4 linked regions of the Schizosaccharomyces pombe genome follow. Changing the gene in region 4 together with the main gene of any one other region gives a genetic interaction. Each region holds a gene or a part of one and is shown on either strand. Other genes may lie near its edges. The genes, in order: ste4, ral2, pob1 and ras1.

Evidence for each region.
Region 1: of ras1 (region 4) and ste4, changing one suppresses a phenotype caused by changing the other (phenotypic suppression), as found in Schizosaccharomyces pombe (one study listed by BioGRID).
Region 2: of ras1 (region 4) and ral2, changing one suppresses a phenotype caused by changing the other (phenotypic suppression), as found in Schizosaccharomyces pombe (2 studies listed by BioGRID).
Region 3: of ras1 (region 4) and pob1, changing one suppresses a phenotype caused by changing the other (phenotypic suppression), as found in Schizosaccharomyces pombe (one study listed by BioGRID).

The regions. Positions count from the first base shown.
Region 1 is NC_003424.3:1,294,493-1,299,062, forward strand, and holds ste4 (MAPK cascade adaptor protein Ste4), read right to left. Parts: upstream 2,052-4,570; 5' UTR 2,019-2,051; coding exon 1,922-2,018; intron 1,764-1,921; coding exon 1,066-1,763; 3' UTR 824-1,065; downstream 1-823. Other genes in the region: SPOM_SPAC1565.03 (uncharacterized protein), read left to right, coding at 1-491; protein Utp8, read left to right, coding at 2,898-4,570. UniProt on the Schizosaccharomyces pombe protein: Essential for mating and meiosis.
Region 2 is NC_003423.3:3,218,892-3,224,790, forward strand, and holds ral2 (Ras1-Scd pathway protein Ral2), read right to left. Parts: upstream 3,447-5,899; 5' UTR 3,291-3,446; coding exon 1,455-3,290; 3' UTR 1,453-1,454; downstream 1-1,452. Other genes in the region: SPOM_SPBC21.03C (EVE domain (PUA-related) protein, implicated in tRNA metabolism (possible RNA binding domain associated with tRNA methyltransferases)), read right to left, coding at 1-56; mediator complex subunit Med8, read left to right, coding at 713-840, 978-1,452; serine/threonine protein kinase SIN pathway Cdc7, read right to left, coding at 3,890-5,311, 5,348-5,482, 5,524-5,876. UniProt on the Schizosaccharomyces pombe protein: Essential for mating and for recognition of the mating pheromone, and for the determination of cell shape. Implicated in activation of the ras1 protein.
Region 3 is NC_003423.3:4,386,747-4,393,284, forward strand, and holds pob1 (Boi family protein), read right to left. Parts: upstream 4,417-6,538; 5' UTR 4,408-4,416; coding exon 4,276-4,407; intron 4,081-4,275; coding exon 1,597-4,080; 3' UTR 1,050-1,596; downstream 1-1,049. Other genes in the region: Ran GTPase Spi1, read right to left, coding at 73-259, 445-570; vma10 (V-type ATPase V1 domain subunit G), read right to left, coding at 5,345-5,485, 5,542-5,642, 5,686-5,728, 5,776-5,814, 5,862-5,864. UniProt on the Schizosaccharomyces pombe protein: Has a role in cell elongation and separation.
Region 4 is NC_003424.3:2,017,838-2,022,512, reverse strand, and holds ras1 (GTPase Ras1), read left to right. Parts: upstream 1-1,881; 5' UTR 1,882-2,024; coding exon 2,025-2,030; exon of another isoform or gene 2,031-2,101; coding exon 2,102-2,755; 3' UTR 2,756-3,051; downstream 3,052-4,675. Other genes in the region: protein Ddb1, read left to right, coding at 1-1,289; leu5 (coenzyme A transporter), read right to left, coding at 3,164-4,144. UniProt on the Schizosaccharomyces pombe protein: Participates in the process of sexual differentiation and the determination of cell shape. Essential for mating and for recognition of the mating pheromone, but not for vegetative growth. Does not regulate the intracellular cAMP level.

The sequences.
Region 1 (4,570 bases), 720 kb from region 4:
TATCACTTTCCGACCTACCTAGCAGATTTACATTTTCTAGTGAATCGTCCTCTTCAAGTTCAATTCTTTTCGCTTCTACTTTGGCATCGGAATCTAGACTTTCTGATTTATCTACCGGCTCTATACGGGATTCCGACTGTTTCAGTTTTAATGTCCATGAATTAAATCAGTCAGATGAAATCCTTGAAATTGATTTTCGTTTTTTCTCAAAGAAAAAAAAAAATGAACATTTCTCTAAGCGTAGAAAATTATCAAAAGTACTGACTCCACCAACAAATGATGAAATTAAATTTGTTAATAGGCATACGGGATCAAAACCCCAGCCAAATTTTTATTCATCTTCCGAATCAAGCGAAAAGGAACTAATTTGGTTTCAGCCAAAAATGCGTGTTTTTCTACAAAGCTTGTCTAACATGAGTTACTTGTCTCCTTCCAAATTTCGGTATACCACCGTGTACTCCAAGCAACCCAACGCATGTTGCATTGTCTGAAATTGTTAATACATAGCTTACAAAAATAAGCGTAGTACAACATGATGAATATTTTATTGACGGAGTAAACTACGTTTCGGGGCATAATTTTGCGCCTTATTTACGAACTTCACATATTGCATATATCATTGGTTTCAAATTCATTAAAAAACCACAATTTTTTTCTAAAAATTTCTAATCACGCTTCAATTTTTTTTTTAGGCTGTTAACCTTCTTTGTCATTTCATTTCCTGTTGAAGCATGTTAAAATTTAATGTTTAATTTTTTCTGTTATTATATTACATGGTTCATTTTCATTGTCTTAATACATTCCATAGATTCATTTATATCATATTAATAAACCTTAGGGCATACCCCATGAATAAAAAAAAAAATATATATTTTAAGCATATTAGATAGAATATTAGATAGAATATTAGGAGGTACGGCTAAAAAAATCAATCCATCTTTAAATACTGATAAACATACCAAGGCGTAAGTAAAATAACTTAAATATCTGCAAATGAGTCATTAAAAAAATTGAAAACTATTCATTAAATTCAATTCATAAATAGATGGCTTTTAAAAAGCTTAGTTAACAAGAGCGTCGAGATAAAACAAAAGAAGGCGACTTTCCCCTCTTTTGTAGGTTTCGAAATAGTTGAAGTGGCTTTACATCCATAGGTATGGCATGCTCCTTATCATCGTAGTTTATAAGCAAATCATAGCTCATCCAAGTGTTTGGATCGATTCGGTATCGTTGCAACATGGAGCATAACACTTCATTGTAGGTTAAGTTCACATTTAATTTTCTGTTTTTCTCCGCGTTTGTCAAAGAATCATTAACCTCTAAATCAAAACTTCCAAGAACAGATGGTGAAGGCTGAACAGGGTGAGTCATCGAACTAGTGTCAGATGAATTTTCGGTAGTAAGCTGTCTTCCTTCCTTAACATTTATGGCAATTTTTCTTAGTAACTGAAGAAATTCCGAGTTCAAAGAGTTTAGTGTTTTTACCAATTTAGTGTTTTCCGTTTCCAAGTATTCCACACGTTTTTCTAAAGAGACATTGTCATCTGATAAATGTTCGGTTTTTTCCTCTAGCTTCTTGTAAGACTCTTCTATATTTTTCAGTTCTTGATCCTTATTTTCTTGCTGCAGTTTATCCTTCTGCTGCTTTTTCATTGACTGTATTGCTGATAAAATGTCAATACGATGGCCCACACTCTCAATTCCCATGTCTCGAAGATCATTTGAACTTAACAGGTCTATGTCTTTTCCAAGAATATGGTAGTCTAGAAATTCTTAGTAAATTGCCATGAAATTGAACCAACTTTGGAGAAACTCATTGTTCCCAATCCCCCATTGACTATAAAAGAAAGAGCATTCAATAAGGATTAATGAGAGGCGAGCAAATAATTCTTTGAATTAAACTTCTGTTATGCATACATACCTTCAAACGCTTCTTTATGGGGAAAACCAAGCTGTTCTATCCAATTGCAAACTGCTTCATTGTTCCAATTCCAATAAAAATCGTCAGAATCTCCCATTAATTTTGCTTAGGATAGCAATGTAAAGGGCGTAGTTAATATATATGCTTCTGATGCTGACCTGCCCACTACTTTTATAACAAAGAAAGCATACTCATTTACCAAAAGTTAGTGGATATGCAAATTTAAATACAATATCAAAAATCAGCATAAAAAATGATAAAAAATAAGACCCTTAAATCTTATTGGAAAAGTGATTTTGGATGTGATTTGGGACTTTGAATTTGGATTAGCTATAAAATCTGTAAATTATGGGACGTAAACAAGAGCATGTATGCCGATGCTAATTTGACTTGCCCAGTTTTTTTCACTTATTAAAGAAAAGTTTTATTATCCCTATTATATTAGAAAAATTGGTAAACAATAAATTTAGAGTTTCAAGTTCACAGAATAAAGGCACAATTGATATCAAACATCGGTACGTTGTCCAAGTATGAATAAAGCTCAAAGCAAAAAAACCCAATCGAGAAGAGAATTTTTTGTAGCATTGTTGTACAAAGAGTAGTTTACAAAAAAAATTCTGTTTTTCTTATTTGACAAAACTAAATAATAAAAGTTGTTTTGTTATAGCACTTGAGAGCAAAAAGTTTTTATGTATCATAACGAGATATACCGCACTCGAATGTAAGAACGCAAATTTTCCAGTGGAAAACAAGCGTCGAACAACCATTGCTTCTAATACTTTAATTTAATTTTACTGATCAATAATTCCTATTTTCGTTAGTATTTGTGGAGGTCAAAGCTGTGTAGGAATTATTTTTTTTTGTAACTTCTTCTCTTCATCTCCACCGAGTGCTGTGTGAAACTTTTGAACCTCAGAAACGCTTATTTTGCCAATTTTCACAGTTTCAGAAAATTGTGTTTAAACTTAAAGTAAAAATGGCTTCTTTTGGTGAACTATCGTTTCTCAGCGAAATTTCGAATATTCATAAATCGAATAAAAAGCATGAAATTCAGAGTGCTGGCACGGTTGCTTTGGATAACGGAGTTGAATCTCCTTATTATATATGTGTTCAAGTGGAAAATCAGGGAATTGAAGTTTATCATATGAAGGATGAACGCTTATTCGCTTCATGTCCTCTACCTGAGAAGACACGGTTTTCCTGCTCACCCATCTACATTAAAGAAGGAAATTGGCATTATATTTGGACCTGCACCTCTCTTAAAAGTAATGGGGAATGGAAAATACTTCTTTGGAAGTTCAACGACCTCGAGGAGGAAAGCGAAGTTGTATATCGTGATATTTCCAACCAACAAATATTTGCTCTTCATTTCATCTCGTCAACTGGTCAACTAGTGATTGTATTTCGAAACGGAAAAATTGCGTTTCTCGATCCCGAAGATGACAAAGTTCACATGAGTGCCTCCGTTAACGAATCAGCCACATTGCTTCAATCAATGTATGTTCCTTCACAAGCAAATCCTATTGATGCTGTACGATTAGCATCTAACGAAGCAAGTGGCACTAATAATAATCCAAAGGAAATCGAGATGAACAGCGACACAACTTCTTCAGTACCAAAGTCAGGGTCTACCAGTTTTAGCGCTAATGTCACCTCATCCACATCCATGGTATATTTATTGTATAGTGTACATGTCGACAAAATTATACAATATTATGTAGATTCTTTTTCAGTTTCTGAAAGACGTCTCGTGAATACGAGAGCTGTGGTTCTAAAGGAAGTTCAGGCTCCTTCGCACATTCTGATGTCTAAAGACTCTACAAGTATATATACGATTTCCCTCGAAGGGCTATCCATATACTCACTTCATGATGAGTCCAAATCTTATATGCTTATTAAAATTCTTCATTTCCAAAGCATATCGAAAATTGAACACATAGAGCTTATTTCGGATAATTTTTTGTTAATTCAACATGATAGTCAACTATCTTTATGGGACATAACATTCGGAACTATTCAAGATGTTTACGATTTGAAACAGAAACCCACGATTCTCACTTTTACCTGTTATAAGTCGTCTTTAAAAAAAATGAATCAAAACTCCCAATTAACTGGATACATTGCTGTATTATTAAAGAAGGGACTGGCCATTGTACCATATACATTGCCGATAAAAATGCTTCTTGCCGATGCAGTTGGTAAACGTACTTCAAAAATCGGAAAGCTACGCGGAACCAATGAACTCATCGGCGAAGGAGTTTTAACAAAATCTAAAAATGGTCCTTCGATGCGTGACCAACTATTGAAAAATATACAGTTGCAAGATCATTCACTTCGTGATGAATTAATTTCCTTGCGTTCCTTAGCTGAACAAAAAAATACCATAGAGTTTGATGCTAAGTTCCTAGGTGTTGTCGAACGATACCAGAATCAGTATGCCAACAATTGCAAAATTCTTAAAACAAGCAGTGTGCTTCCTATTCCATTTGCTCATGCAATTGAAAGTCTCTTGTTTTCCCTTGATGAGGAAAATGAGCTTCAGGTCAGTTGTGCAGCTTCAGGGACACTCAATTACTTAATACGACACCGATTATTTAGCTACTCAACTCTGGTACAAAAAGGTTTCTCGGGCTCCGTGTTTGATTGTTT
Region 2 (5,899 bases), on a different chromosome or scaffold from region 4:
GGCTCTCCTTCGGCCTTCATAAGCCAATAACGCCTCTTTTCTGCATCTTCGGTCATTGCGCCTATTCTTTAGAAACCAAAATGTAAAAAAATGTTAAGTTAAATATAATTACGTACGTATGAAGGTTGTTAAGTTAAATGATGGGAGTTAGTGTTATAATTTCAAGTGGATGTCTTAGACACACTAATGTTTCGACAGCCAGAATTCCGTTTTACTAAATTAAGACGTACCAAATATTTTTTCGGCATTTTGAAACAAAGTAAAGTATTAGTTGCTATCTTTCTATATTAGAAATCTAAAACGTTGGAGCATTTATAGCTACTTACGCTACCCGAAGTTCCACTTTTGTGACAATTTTATTTAAGTAGTTTATGAGATTAAATATCATATAGATTTCATAGACATTAAAACTATTGAACGATATGAATAACCATGTATACATTAAACAGCTGGAACGTATTTTCTAAAACGTTTACGAACTCATATTATTCTGCCTTAAGTAAAATATGAGGTATTGCATACCACGAACACACATATGAATTGTAATTTATTCCTATTGTAACAAGTTTTAGGATAAAGAAAAAGCTCAACTTCTTTTCCGTTAGATATTAAACGATTACATATATATTTTGAGGTGTTGTTATTCGAGTTTTAACGCTCGAATACTCATTAAGTGTTGAAATTGTGAATAGATTAGCAAGCTTAAAAAAAAATGGAAGACATATCTACCGAAAAAACAGTGGAATCTTTGGAAGCAATCCGACATAGAATAGCACAAATTGTTCAATCGTTAACTCATTTTCTTGCAATTCTTCATCAAAGCGAATCTCTTTCACCATGGTATGTGCACAAATGAATGTTCTTAATTTTATTTTTTGAGGATAAAAGTGATAGCTCCATTATTCTAAGTTAAAGATATACGAAGAAAACGGATCTGTAATCATTTGTATTTCAACCCTACTAATATTTATACACAGGCCTACGATACATAAAAACTTCAACATTTTGCTGTCTCAAATTCATTCTTTAAGTAATAATTTAGCAGCTCATTCTCACACTCTTCAAACAACTAGCATATACCCGTCTCTTGAATTCCCAGTTAAAGAACAAGAGCCATTATTGACCACCCTACTCCGAACAAAAGCTCTCCCTGAAGTAGAAGAATGGGAGGCAAATACCCTTCAAGAATATGAAGCATCTATATCATCACAACCTAAAAAGAAAGAGGCTAACGACGCCTATCAAAAGGACCAATTATGGGACCAAGCAAGAATCATATTTATGGAAGAACGAGAAAATTATAGCTGGTTTGATTTTGTAACCCGAAGGCAGGAATCAGAAGGAGAGTTTGTGAGCCAGCGACAACTAGAGATTGATAGAGCTACGGAGGAACAAAATGCAAATCAAATGTTAACAGACATACTATCATTCATGAAATCAGGTAAACGTTAAGGTTAATCATCTAAGTTTGGAAGTGGAGAAGTGGGTGAGATTGCAGTGCCTCCTTGTTCAATTCGAGCAATACGACGTAAAGCGCGTAATTGCAAACCTTTTGCACCCGTCAAAGCGGCAGTCTCATAAATTAATTTAACGTTATTTCGATTAAGCACACCGTGGAGGAGATGCACAATATAGGCAAAAAAGGTTTCCAAGCCCTCAAAACCTTTACAAAGGATCAGGAGATTACATAGATTTTTGGCAGTACAATAAGATCCGTTTAATGTCCCACAATATATGTAATGCAAAAAAGCGGAACACGTTTCAAATGAATAAGGCATATACAACGCCCTGCTTCCTGTGCTATGAATAGAACTGAATGGCAGGTCTGTTAACTGAGGACCCAGTTGAGAAACCTCAGCTTGAAAAGCTTCCTGATTTTTTTCAACTGCTCGATCCATAATTTTTTGAAATGCAGGCCATCTCTTGTAAAGCATTCTCGATAAACAAGGGATGTGCATGCGCTCGATTGTCAAAATTTCCATATCACTTATACCGTTCAACAGTAGTTTACCCAACTGTTCAGATCGCTCCGTAACTCTCCCCATTTGCGGCTTTCTGTATACACCATATCCTTCTAACTCAATAAAAACTATGTGATCGTAATTTGATTGTCGCAAATTATAATCTTGGGTAAGTTTCCTAGTTTTGTTTCCAAAAACCACAAACCTATTCGTACAATCTAAGACTAGACATTTGAACCACGATCCATGGTTTAAAACACCCAGCATATCGAGTTGCAACCAAAGCTCCTTGTCAAGAGAATAGACCCAAAGCACGAATGCCTGTCTGGAGCTCGTAAGGTAGATTCCAGATAATATTAAGTTGTCTCCAAGTATGTTAACAGCAGGAAACCTTAGTCCCGGCGGCATTGCTGAACTTAAGAATTTTTCAGTAACATCAAGCTCTAGGAAACGGAAAGATTGGTTATTATCTTTTGCCAAAGCGGCTGATTTTTTTTCACTTTCGGCAGTATCTAATTCAAATAATTCCAAGTATATTACTTGCCTCTTAACATTGACAAAATTGTAATTTAAATAAAAAAACAAAGAACCGATAGAGTGCTCATTAGAATCCTGAGTTGTATTAATTGGTCGACACATCTGTAAAAATTCACTATCTTTGTTTATTACCACACAATTCGATCTGTATATACCACAGTGATGATTGAACAGGGATTTAAAAACCCATTTTCCCGAATCCAGGTCAAAAATATTTATCTCTTCAATATAGCTGTTTGATAAATCTTGCCCACAAAATATAATAAGATAATGATCTAACACGCAATGCAAATGTCCGTAACGTGCTGATGGATATAAGTGTTTGCTTTTTTCATCAACATCAGATCCATTGACTTCTTTAGCATCGTCATTTGTCTGATTCTCTGTTATCATGCCAGGTATATGAGACCATTGCTTAGTCTCAATATCATATATGTCGATGTCGTTAAGAACATAAAGACATTTTGTATCATCATTAAATCCCATACCACCAAAGAATATTAATTTGTTATTCCATAAATCCCCTGAATGGAAATACCGTGGTATCGGCTTTTGATTTCCTTGATATTCAACTTGCTTCCAGGAACAAGTGTTAAGATCAACTACATACATATCATTAACAAGCTGCGCATTTAATGCATCGCGTCCTCCATATACAAAAGCCTCGTCTCCATATTTTATAACTGACTCCCCAATCAGCGGTTTTGGGACATTATTTGAAGATAAACTAAATGTAGAAGTAAAAATGTTTGTTGAATTTCTCAAAGATATATTCCTTTTTACTTCTGACATAGATATAAACTGTTTAGCAACTCGACGTTAATAAGAAATATCAAAAAAGTGATTTTTCCTTCCACATAAAAATTAATAATTACTGAAATGCAAACAGTCAAAAAAGATTTATGCAATAAACAAAGCAGCAAATTAATAGCCAAAAATGAGAAGCATAAAAATCATTGTTGTCCTTTTGTTTTAGTGCATATTTCTTCCTGTATTGCACTATCGTAGCGTTAACTGATATAGTGAAGTTAACTTTTATGCACACCTAGATTTTAAAATTCGAAGCACTTGAATGAATAAATATAAATATACACTGTGATAAGCATATTATAAACCTTTCTCTTAACGTTTCTAAGATTCATCAATATAGATTCGGTAAATAAATAGTCTTCATTGCGGTACTCAATTAGATTGTATTTCAGGTATAAACACAACTGGTAACGTACTTACACATGGAATGATAATATATTAATATTAAAATTAGCAAAACTTTCGTTTAAAAAATATTGATTCCATAATCCCAACCTTATTTATTAATCATTAAGCCATAAATACAGAAATATCATAAACAAGTAATATAGTCGTGCACTGGGAAATGCGTTTAATAGTGTTCACTGCGTTAATGGCTGCTTTGGTTGCCATCTAGGTGGAGGCATATGCGGTTTCGAAATGGGGGATTTGTGCTCATTGATGGGACCCTGTGGTACCTTCAGGTATTTCAGCAGGTCTTTTGCTAGTTCTTTAACAAGCACAGAATCACTTGTTTGGTTCAAATTTGCAACCACATCTGGTAAACCACAATGCGCAATATAAGCAACACTTTGGCTACTAGCTTCACACATTGATTTCATAATTTGAAATATGTTTAGGACCACAATCGGCTTGGTCCCCTTATGAGTTAACTTTTCTTTAAATTTCTGGAATATTATAGGCTGGCCATAAGAGGCTGCCAATCTTGGGGAAATTTGACAAACCCTGCCCAAAGTATCTAGCATTCTGTTTGAGGAAGCTGATTGAGAAATACAGAACACCTTTAACACTAATTGTACGTTTCTCTTCTCTGCCAAAACACGTTGTACTTCACGGAGTTCAAACTGCAACCAAGATGCGATCGTATCAAATACCGCAGATTGCCAATTAAGATCTGATAATAACGAGAGAAAAAAATCTAAGCATTTATTTTGCCAAAGATAAATTCTCGACACTGGACCAGCCTGTGGCAAAGCTAATAATATCGGCAGCGCAAACTCCTTAAACAGTCTGTCTTTAATAATCACCTCTTGCAATAATGGAATAGCACCAGAAATAACAGCCTCTTCTTGCGATTTCTTATCTAGCTTACACACATTGAATAAAGCGGCCAAAGCTTCGCTTCTAATTTCTTTTCGTCCTTTCTCAATTTTGCTGTCACCGAGAATATGTGTCAAAAGAGGTATTATATGAACTTTCCTAAGAAGCGACAAAGATGAAGGAACCATTGAAAGTTGCTTGAAAAACTGTAAGGTAATCGCCATATCAGAATGCGGCAGATAAAGCAGAATACGCAATATCCTTCGAAGAGCACTTTCGCAAAGAAGTGATTCCTTAACATAATTATCAGCCTGAGATAAAGCCAATAAAATTTCACATATACGTGTTAATGACATTCTTGAAGAATCATCGTCAGTAGCCAAAGCTTTCAGCATGGCTTTGGTCAAGGGCTCTAGTGAATCATTTACAACCATCGTACAGATATCATTTTTTGGAATGTAATCCTGTTGTCTCAGTAATTTCCATATTCCTTCTACGCCAACAAAAACAAAGTCACGGTTCGTTCCATAGTCCTCTTTAATAAATAATAAAAGCGAATTCAGACCATTTGAGCTCAAAAACATTTGTAATGTCAAAGCAGAAGTTCTATACATCTGTTGAATAAAGATAGCACTTTCATATCTAAACTCAAAAGAGTGTTCACGATTAGAGAATGACAACATAAGCGGTAAACCTCCAGCAAAGCAAACTTTTTGTAAAGTTGTGTGATCATCGAATGCAACCTAACGTTAGTAAAATCACGCATTAAATATCCTTACAGTGTTAATGAGCTTTAATAACAGCAATTGAACATCAGGCGTTTTTATTTCGCGCAATGTCTCTAAAAGTGGAAGGATACCATGCGCTTGTATTATCTCTCGTTTTAGAGAAAGATCTTCACTAAGTATAGAAGCCTATTGTCAGTTAAATTATCAATATAAAAATATGCACTTACTATTTGCGAAACAGTTGTATCCTTCGATCCGATATTCTTGTCACGTAGTGAGCCTAACAGACTGGAAAGTAAGGAAGCTAGATGCGTTCTCTTATCTAAAGCAATGTTGTTTTCAATATCCAAGTTTTCTAAGTTTGTTTCAATAGAGTCAAAGATATCCGATTCTTCCCCATCCTCATTTTCTTCATTATTCCACGAGCCATAACATTTGTTTAAAACCAAAGTCCCCAGTCCAGTCTCCTTTCTCAATCCTTGAACTTTGATTGAGGATGTAGGGAAAATATCAGTAAATTCACTATCTCTGGGTGTCTCGACAAATTTTTCAATTCCGTCTGGTATATTCTCTTTAAACTCTAGATAATTAGTTATATGTTAG
Region 3 (6,538 bases), on a different chromosome or scaffold from region 4:
ACCATTAAATCTAGCGGTCTATGAGTATCAAAAAAAACATTTAAAGCTTTTTTTTGCTTAAATATCACTTACGCCACCAATGGGGAACATTCTTATAGGTAATACGGGAAGTAACATCAAACATGATAATACCACATTGACCTTGAATATAGTAACCATCACGAAGGCCACCTAACTTTTCTTGACCAGCGGTATCCCAAACATTAAAGCAAATTTCACCAAAATTAGTATGAAAATGCAAAGGATGGACCTCAACACCCTAAAAATATGTTAGACTGTTGTTTCTAAACGAAAGATCTAAGCATAAAAAGAGTAACTGAAAACCGATGATGCACGAGTACAGATAACTGTATGTCTCATAAAAAGATGGCATTTATTTACGATACTAGGCATCGTTTCCGGTATACAAAAACTGTTCTAATAAAGTAAAATCATAAAACGTACCAAAGTTGCAATATACTTCTTTTCAAATTCACCAGTCAAATGACGCTTGACGAACGTGGTCTTACCGGTACCACCATCGCCGACAAGTACAAGCTTAAAGGTAGGAACGTTTTGTGGTTGAGCCATACTAAACTTTTCTCTGTTGCACCTAAACTAACTGAGAGTTTGGTTAAAGGAAAATTTTAGTGGTGCGTAATTTTTATATGAATAAAAGACCTGGGTATAACAAAACCCTAACCCTGATAGTCGATTGGAATTTAACAGAAAAGGGAGTGTATGGTATAGTTTTTTAATGCCGATTTAACGAATTGTTTAACGAGTTTGACTATTGCTCTTATTGAAGTTGATCGCCAAAAAATGGATATAGTGTCGTTTTTGAAATTTCAAAAAAGAATTGCTTCTACGAAAAGCTACATTTGTGCGTACTTGCTTATACATTCTGGGTTTATACACAACTTACAAGCAGCCAATGCTTACTTTTTGGACGTCACTACACGGTTTTGATTGCATGTAAAGATAAAAAACCGCAGCCAAGAAAACGTATTTGCTAATCCAAGGAATGCCAGGAATGCCCATACATAGAAAACAAACATTCTAAATTTTCATTAGCTATATTAGTATCACTAGTAAAAGGCCTACGAATTCTGCAATGATCCAGGTCCGCTACCAGCGTGGACTCAGCTGGATCGAAATGATCGAAATAAAGATTAAAAATAAAACAAACGAAAGTGGTAGGAAGTCGACAAACAAATGAAAATTATCAGTAAAAAAATGCTGAATTAATAGAATGATGCATTTGCTTTTAAAAATTTATGCAATAAAAGATAAAAGCAAATAATTCAACGTTAAATAAGCCATATGTGCATGATGAAGATACTATAGCTTCCGCTAGTAAATGTCGGTAAACCAGAATCGAAATGAGCGTATCAAATATGCCCGGTTAATTCTTAAATTGGTGTCAAATATGTCCGCAGTAAAAGCATCAACGAATTTAAAATTCAAACATATTAGCTATGTTTTCAATTTTGAAGGGATATTTAGTTTGAAAATAGATTAAGGAAAACCAGATACTAAGAACAGGGTCTGTTGCGCAGGTTTTAGAATTGGAATGTGTTGCACTTTGCTTTTGTGGATTTTGAGGAGTGTCGGTATTTATTTTTGCTTGCTTGATTTCTTATTCTTTTGTTTTGCATTCTTCTTTAATCCAATCGAAGAAGTGAGATTTGCTTCATTTTCATCATCAATTAATAGAGAAGGAGGCCTAGTACGAAGTTCTTTAGCTTTGCTAAGTGAAATGGTAGGCATTCTCGACGTTGTCAAAACAGGTACCGACATATCGCGTTCCACAGTAGCCTTGAGAAAAGCCGAAGACCAACGATGTAATTCTTCATTATTTTCACAAGTAAAATAATGAACCTTTGGTGGAGTGAACATAACTGCTGCTTTAGCGGCACCTGGAGCAGGTGGAATTAACTTGATAGCAGTTTTGCCTCCACTTAGAACAATGTCATCGGTTTTCGTAACACGATGAGAAGTCATATCAATTAGGCCTTTTTCTGAAGCATCATTTAATGAATGGTAATAAGAAAGCCTTGTTCCTTTTAATACAAAGTATCTAGACTTCCAAACACCGTAACGATCACTACGTTTCCGCATCCAACCATGACAGTCCGCCGTTTTAATTGCTTCTTTGGCAGGTATATTACTTAATCCTTCACTAATTCCAGTAGGTAAAACCTTTTGTCTCCCAAAAATATCACGTTTCGACTTTCGTTTACCTATTGGCTCTTTATTTAATGGTGATGAAGCAACAGAACGAAGGGTTGGACGAGTCTTTAACTCAGTGCCGACTGGAGGTGAAGCGGGTAAGGAAGCAGCCGGAGATGGAGCAACAAAAGTATTTCCTAATTTTGAGCCCTTCGTATCTTTGGGTTGAGGTTTTGAAAGAGGAGTGGCATAATTATTAACAGCGGATTTTTCGTTTATGGACACCCCTTTGCTTGTGACAGGCGATGATGCTTTTGCTGATGGGTCTGGCATTGATTCAGGTGACTTAGTAACAGAACTTGAACTCCCTTGTTCGAGATTGCTACTAGGGAGTCGAGAACTTATCGATGAAGGACTTTCACCATCAATAGTAGTAATCTTTGGAGGATCCAATTCTTCCAAAGCTTCGATAGATATAGCTGAAGCTGGTGCTTTTCCTTTCATAGCACTTGGAATAGGTCTAGGAGGTACGGAAGAAGATTCCGATGCACCGCCCGTAAATTTAGTAGGAACGTTAGAAGATGGTTGAGGAGCATACAAGTTGCCCTTAGATGAATGATAAGGTAAACCAGGAAATGAAGTTCCTTCCTTATCAACATCAATGCTACTGGTAGAAGGAGAAGAGATGGGCTCAGTAAGACGAGAAGGTAAACCGCTATTTTGAGAAATTGAGTCCGTAGGGGATGAACGTTTTAATATCGGTGATGTGGCCGAAGGTTCGTTAGAATCAAAACGAGATACATTTTCAGGGACCGCAGATTGCGTAGACTTAGAATTGCGCGAACTTGGTGTGGCTAAAGGAGGAATCACGTATTGGTTCCAATCGGTAGATGGAGATGAGTCCAAATCAGGTGAAACAATCATATTTGACAAAGAAGGCATCACACTAGTCGGACGATTAACATAATCGTTAAATCCCGGACGAGTTGGACTGGATTTTGATGGTGAACCGCCGGCTTCATCATTAGATTTTTTTGGAATAGAAGAGGAGGAATCAGAACTTTGGCTAACAGAAATAGGCTCAGCAAACTGCGGATATTCTTCATATAAAGATTGTTCGTATGAATCTTTTAATTGTTGGATCTTTCGTAAAACTTCAAAACGTTTTCCAAAAGAAGTAATGTTAAGTTCTTTCAAAACATTGGAATCTAAGCCTAATAAAATTTCACCGGTTATTTCATTCTCCGCAAAATTAGGAGCTACTGATCCAAGGCCGGCATTCATAAGCCATTCAACTACCTCTTCCGTAGACCAGTTAGGAACATTTTGAATTTTTTCGGAAACAGCAAGAGAGGATGCAGGTCGATTTTCAATATAGGGCAAAGGTGAACTGTCATTTGGAGTACGAGATGCTGAAGTTGACATATTCTGTAAAGCTGTTTCAATATCTGTAATAGTTTCTCTAACGGAATCCTCAGCTGACAAAACCTTTTTCAAGCTTGCTGAAGTAGCAGGAGCAGAAGTAGAAGCAGAAGCATTATTATAATCGGCATCAATAGTGTTGAAGTTTGATAGATCTGAGGAAGGTTGGTTATCCAACAAAGGGGAAGGGCCTTCTTGTTTAGAAGATGGAAACATTGAGTTAAAATTACTAGGGACCGAAGGTTTCGAAAGACTATCAAGGGGGCCGTTTAAGATTGATGAGTGACTTGAAGACAAGGAATTATTCGAATACAACTTTTCACTGTCCTTGTCCGATCGTGAAGAAGTTGACCGGCTGCTTGATAAAGAGGATCTTGTGACTTCCGCGGTAGAAATGGAGAAATCTTCTTTGCCTCTTCTTGAATCACTTGAGTCAGACCTCTCATCAGATATCAATTCTACGTGCGAAGCAGGAAAAATACCCCTATTTCCCTGTTCATCTTCTCCCTATTAAAACTTAGTTAGTATGATAAAAATATATCAAGGTTTCACAATCCTAAGGGCATGCAACTTTGACATATAGTGTTTGCATCTTTATGTGGATTGGAAAACTGTACAAAGCAGGCATCAAGAATCCTTCAAATTATAAAATATACCAGGAATAAAAATAATAGGATTTTGACTTCGAAGTTATATACTTACTTCCCACCAACCATCACCAAATTCTTCATCCATCTTTATCAACAGATACTTCCGACCTTCAACCAACGGAAGTTCATCACTACTCTTCCCCGGAAAGGAATGCAAAGCAATCACGAACCGCTGACTTGCCATAGTTGTGGTAAAAGCAGAAAAAACACAGCTATGTGGTTATGCGGTGTTGTAATCGAAGGCTTAAATCTTGATGGCTGGCAAAACAGTGTTTACCGTGTTTGGCTTAGCCCACTTTAACGATAATAATCTATGTGGGGAAAGACGACCTTCGTGGGGGCTTTGCTTTTTGAAATCTGCAAGTCTGTTATATTACATTAGGAGAGTGTTGCAGAATGTGTTTTGACCTAGTCATGGTTTAACCAGTACTTACGTGGGGGTAATAGTAGTATTAGGTGTTGAATAGGTGTTTTATTTATTTCTTCTAATATACATGTCGGTACGTTTGAAGGCAAAGGATAGAATGTCTCATCTTCGTATATTAACGAATAAATGAAGGACCAAAGAACTAAGAATTGTGATTATGCTTACGTTTCCATTGAAATACGCTTAGTATAACGATGAGGGTGACAATTGCATAGTTACTATAATACATGTATCTAATTTATTTATTCACGTGTGTAATGAGGTCGATTGACTTGATCTACCACAAAGGTATTATGGAAATGCGATCGAGTATTAACCAGGTAACTTATTATTTATACAAGGTCCGTCTACGGTTGAAGGTAATTATTGGATAACTTCGCTAATATTTCACAATACTAAAATAAAAAATGAGCTAAACTCGTATTTGACCATATTCCTGGGATATCAACAGTCCACTATATGATTTTGCTTAATAAGAATCATTAGCTATCTGAATGCATGATTATTTAACAGCATCCCTCGCAGACAGAATTCTATACCCTTTACGATCTAATAATTGCAAATATTTCATACATGTATGGGAATATTAGATGATTACCGTTAAAGTGATTTATTGCTAAAAATTGCAAATACAGTTTTCCCTTCAGAGGATAGTAAGAATGTGTATATAAAAATTTAGTAATAAACAGTAAGTTTACTTAACATTGCAAGTTATAGATAAAATAGCATCAACCACTTTATCAGAGTTCTTCTGGGAGCTTGTCTCGATACTTGCAAATGTGTCCTGGACTTGCTTTTTGCTCTCCGCTTCAGCCTGACTATATATACCAGAAGCCTGATATGTTAAAATTGATTGTCCAAACTCTTAAAAACTGTATTGAATAACTTTACCTGACTTTCTGACTTTTTGAATTCCTCTTCCTTCTTGGAAGCGTATTCATCAATTTCGCGTTTAGCCTCAAGACGTGCATCCTTCAATCTTTGAGTGCGATCTTTTTATCTTTTAGAAACGTTGCTCCGATTGATTAAACTTACGTTGGCGAGCCTTTTCGACTATATTTCTAGCAACTTTTTCAGCCTACATATCTCATTAGAAATAACGATCTTGGAATTACCTGAACTTACCTCTAAAAGTTGTTGGATACCAGAATTCGTTTGAGCACTCTAAAAAGAAGTCAGAAATTGCTCCTTATAATAAAAATACAAATTACCATTATGTCTGTAAATTTAATCGTACTTGAGGAAGGGTCTATGGTCGAAGAAGTAATACTGGTTTGATAAACTACTCGATCTCCGTAACGTACTCTATCTACTCTGCTATCCACTAATTCCGTATCTTCTTAAACTCGCTAACGATATGGTAAGATGCGATGTTTTGATTGAAATAATGTTTGCTCCTAAATTTGGATACTATATAATAAAATCAGATTCTTACTATCCTCGGTTATAATTGTTGGGCAACGCGCCGTTGTTTGCTCAGGTGAACTGGAACTTAATAAGTAAATTCGGTATTGTTTTACATTTTTAGGCATATGATCAAGAACTGTAAGTAAACAGATAGCAGAAACCATTTGAATCTTACAATATTACATGATAGTACGTTCGAGCAGCACTGAATTTAACAAGTGCATCTAATAATGCTGTTACGGCGTATACAGCATCCTTGCAAATATAAGCATTGCTAAACATAACTCATTTATGTTTTATAGACATTACTTTCAAAACATCAAATTTTTCTATTTATATGCTCTTTTTAACAACCACCATACCTAAATGAATTACTATTTTAAACTTAGTATATTTTCTAGGCAGCGTATTTTTTGCGAGATAAGCAGTTAAAATTTAAACTAATACTTTAATGTAAAGCAAAATTTGTGATTCATAGAGT
Region 4 (4,675 bases):
ATGAGTCAGATAAATTGGTAATTACACCACTTTCTTGTACGGAAATGTTGAATATATCTTCTTATGTGAACCCTTCCTTAGGAGTAAATATGCTTTATTGCACTAATAGTTATATATCTCTTGCTAAAATGAGTGAAATTCGAAGCTTAAATGTTCAAACTGTTTCTGTCAAAGGGTTTCCGCGGAGAATTTGTTCAAATTCGTTGTTTTACTTTGTCTTATGTATGCAACTAGAAGAGTCGATTGGTACACAGGAGCAACGTTTATTGTCTTTCTTGAGAGTTTACGAAAAAAACACTTTAAGTGAGATTGCTCATCATAAGTTTAATGAATATGAAATGGTTGAAAGTATCATTTTAATGAATGATGATAAACGTGTGGTTGTGGGCACAGGTTTCAACTTTCCAGATCAAGATGCCCCAGATTCAGGCCGTTTAATGGTCTTTGAGATGACTTCCGATAATAATATCGAAATGCAAGCTGAACATAAGGTCCAGGGATCTGTGAACACTTTAGTTCTGTATAAACATTTGATAGTCGCCGGCATTAATGCCAGTGTCTGTATTTTCGAATATGAACACGGTACTATGCACGTAAGGAATTCTATTAGGACACCTACTTATACGATCGACATTTCCGTTAATCAGGACGAAATCATCGCAGCAGATTTAATGAAGTCTATTACCGTTCTACAATTTATTGATGATCAACTAATAGAAGTTGCCAGAGACTATCATCCATTGTGGGCAACATCCGTTGAAATTTTGTCAGAAAGAAAGTACTTTGTAACTGAAGCAGATGGCAACGCAGTGATTCTTTTGAGAGACAATGTCTCTCCTCAATTGTCCGATAGAAAAAAGTTACGTTGGTACAAAAAGTTCTATCTTGGTGAATTGATAAATAAAACTAGGCACTGCACATTTATAGAACCACAGGATAAATCCCTTGTCACACCACAGTTGTTATGCGCAACAGTTGACGGCAGCCTCATGATTGTGGGTGATGCCGGAATGTCTAATACTCCTTTGTTACTACAGCTGCAGGATAACATTAGAAAAGTTATACCTTCGTTTGGAGGCTTGAGTCATAAGGAATGGAAAGAGTATCGAGGTGAAAATGAGACCAGTCCATCTGATTTAATTGATGGCTCTTTGATTGAGAGCATCCTTGGTTTACGTGAACCTATATTGAATGAAATTGTAAATGGTGGTCATGAGGGTACAAAGCTTGATATTTCTGTTCAAGATCTAAAAAGTATTATTGAAAATCTTGAGAAACTACATCCTTAACGTTTTCTATCAATTCTGTTTTTGCCGCTAGAATGTAATTTTAAGACTATATGCAATTATCAATGTCTCATTGTATATTTATAGCAAACGAAAATGTTTTTGAATGAAAATCTCCACTATCGTATCTCTTTCCACGGTCGATAAAACGCATGAAAGGAGTTTAACATATACAAAATAATATATGGTGCCGACCTCTTCATGCATGTATTGCGAACACTTGAGCAAAATTTTTAGAAGCTTTTTAATTTTAATAAAGAAATATTTAATGTTCAGTATAGAAAGTTCAAAAGCAATACTTAAATTTGCTGCTAATTTGGTTAAGTTGGGCTGAATAGGGAATTCTTCAAACAATACTTCGTATGCTTTTAAAGGTAGACAAAGCACTAATGCAATATATCTGTCAAATACAAATGGCAGAATTTTTGGTATTTTAATAGAAGATCAAATGTTTATTGATGGATTTAACATAATTAGCTGTTAACATTAATATTTCGTTTTTATTGCACCAGATACCTTTAAAAAATTATAACTTCTGAATTTCTTTATTACTAGCTTGTCGGTTTGCCATCAGTAATTGTTGACTGCATTACTTGAAAACTGCCAAACACATTTTAACGAGCTTAAGACCAACCAATATTTTTTAATTACCAAGCCTACACACTTTTTGTATTTTGTTTTAAAAGCAACCTAAAGAAATATACGATTAAACTTAGTGTGCTTTATAAAATAGTGAATATGAGGGTAAGTCTAAGCAATGACTTGGGGTTATCTTTTATTGATTACAACAAACTAATCAACGATAATATTTATAGTCTACCTACTTAAGAGAGTACAAATTGGTAGTTGTAGGAGATGGTGGTGTTGGTAAAAGTGCTTTGACAATTCAATTAATTCAATCGCATTTTGTTGACGAATACGATCCTACAATCGAAGATTCATATCGGAAAAAGTGTGAAATTGATGGTGAAGGTGCGCTTTTAGATGTATTGGACACGGCCGGTCAAGAGGAATATTCCGCTATGCGTGAACAATATATGAGAACCGGAGAGGGTTTTTTATTAGTTTATAATATTACCTCTCGGTCCTCTTTTGACGAAATTTCTACATTTTATCAACAAATCCTTAGAGTTAAGGATAAGGATACATTTCCAGTCGTTTTAGTGGCTAATAAATGCGACCTTGAAGCTGAACGTGTAGTTTCAAGAGCTGAAGGCGAACAACTTGCAAAAAGCATGCATTGTTTATATGTTGAAACTTCGGCGAAGCTAAGGTTAAATGTAGAAGAAGCTTTTTATAGTTTGGTTCGCACGATCCGTCGCTATAACAAATCAGAAGAAAAAGGTTTTCAGAATAAGCAGGCCGTCCAGACTGCCCAAGTTCCAGCTTCAACTGCTAAAAGAGCTAGCGCTGTAAATAACAGTAAAACCGAAGATGAGGTTTCAACTAAATGTTGTGTTATATGTTAGCAAGTATTATTGCAGAATATTTGAGCTGTTTGGTGAATGCACCGTTCCTGTCTTTTGTTTCATCTCTTTCTTTTCATTTCAATAATTGTTTTTTCATTTAACACAATTATTAGCAGCTATCTTTAAGTACTTCATTTTCCCTTTGAACCATTTGCACATCTAGTTTTGGCTGCTAGTATGATAGCAAATTATTCAATTCAGAGTTGTGGACTTAGAAAAAACGTGTTATTTGACTTTGGGTTGCTATTTCTTGTTCCGTTTTAATAAAATACATCTCTTTCATTGCATGGTCACGATGTAACAATCTGCAACTAATGAATATATCATACACCTATAATCCCGTAGATCTTTTTTTATAAATTTTTAAAAAAGGGATAATTTTTTTCATAGAAAACTATGTCTGCAGTCTCAATCTATCCCTAAAAGCGCTTTGCTGTGATTGTAAACAAAAAAGCTAGTGCTTACCATTGGGATAACCTTAATGTAACCTATGGTAAGTCCAACGAAAAAACCTCTCATACCGGCTTCTTTGTAAGTAGTTTGTACTACCTGCTTAAGTCTAAGAAATGATTTATTTTTTCTGATACCACCAATTTGCATTTTTCGTCGACAAACTTCGAATGGGTAAGAAACCGTTTGACCACAAACTCCTGCAAATGCTCCACAAAGTAGTTCGGGCCAAGTTTTAAGTTTTTTATCTGACTTTTTTGTAGAAACCCATTCGTCAATTTTTTGTTTATGAAAAAAATCAGTTGCAAGATCGTAGGCAAGAAACGACATACCAGCATATGGAAAGATTCCAGTTAACGTAACAGAAAATCCACGATAAAAATTACAGATTTTTGACAAACGGGATAACCCAGGATACTTCTTATTGCACAAAAAATCACGTTCGTGAAATATATCTTTTGTAACTTGAGTTAGGGTAGGATTCTTCCCTGTATTGGTTATGTAGGCTAAACGAACACGAATCAGCTCTAACGGGTATGTAAAAAAAACAGAGCAAGTTCCGGCAAGTGATCCTGATAAAAATCGCCGAGCATGTGTTTCATGTTCAGGGTCACGAATTAAAACACGCCGTACTTGTTCGTATGCAACAAATTTAATGCCCGCATAAGGGAAGACTCTGTATAAAGTAGCAGTGTGGCCTTGATAAAGACCGTGTAAGCCATAGACGTGGTAAATGTGTTTGATAGCCTTATAAAGCCCATGCCGTGAATAAGCATACCCTCGATAAGAAGCGTGATTGGTTTGGTAAAGGATTTTCACTCTATCTAATGGGGCAACTACTGATTTTGCAACGCATCCAGCTGTACCACCAGCAATTCCAGATTTGACTAAGAATTCCCATGAATCCTTTTCCGGATATTGGGCAGTTGAGTTAGGCATGTAGAATCCCTGAAAGTGTTTAAGTTAAATAAAGAGGGGATTAAAAAGATAAATGGAAGGACAAAACTTTTCGTACCAAATGCCTAAACATAAAAAAATTGTTAAAACTGAACGTTTTCAACTTCTTACTACAAACAAAATTACATGTAAATAAGATTTAGCATCAAATGTCCAAATATCTTGGATCAATAACAGTGATTGAAGGAACACGAGAACACTTATAGTAGTAGCAAACAGTAATCTGAATAGAAAACACTTCAGATTGTCCAACAAGATTACCTATAAAGCAATCAATTATGCTTTTGAAAGAAAATGAAAGTATCTTTTAGCTTCTGTTAGAATTCCAGTAAGCCCATAGGTAAGGTAAAAAAAAGGCTGTAATTTAACAAATATATTTGTAGGCTAATAATAAAGGATCAAAAGAAAACCAATCCGTTGCTAAAAAATAAAAAATTAAGCCCCTGAGTATCCCAATAATAAATAAAGAAAGGCACTCCTAATGCTCAAATAATTGTTGAGTTGCCGATTTTT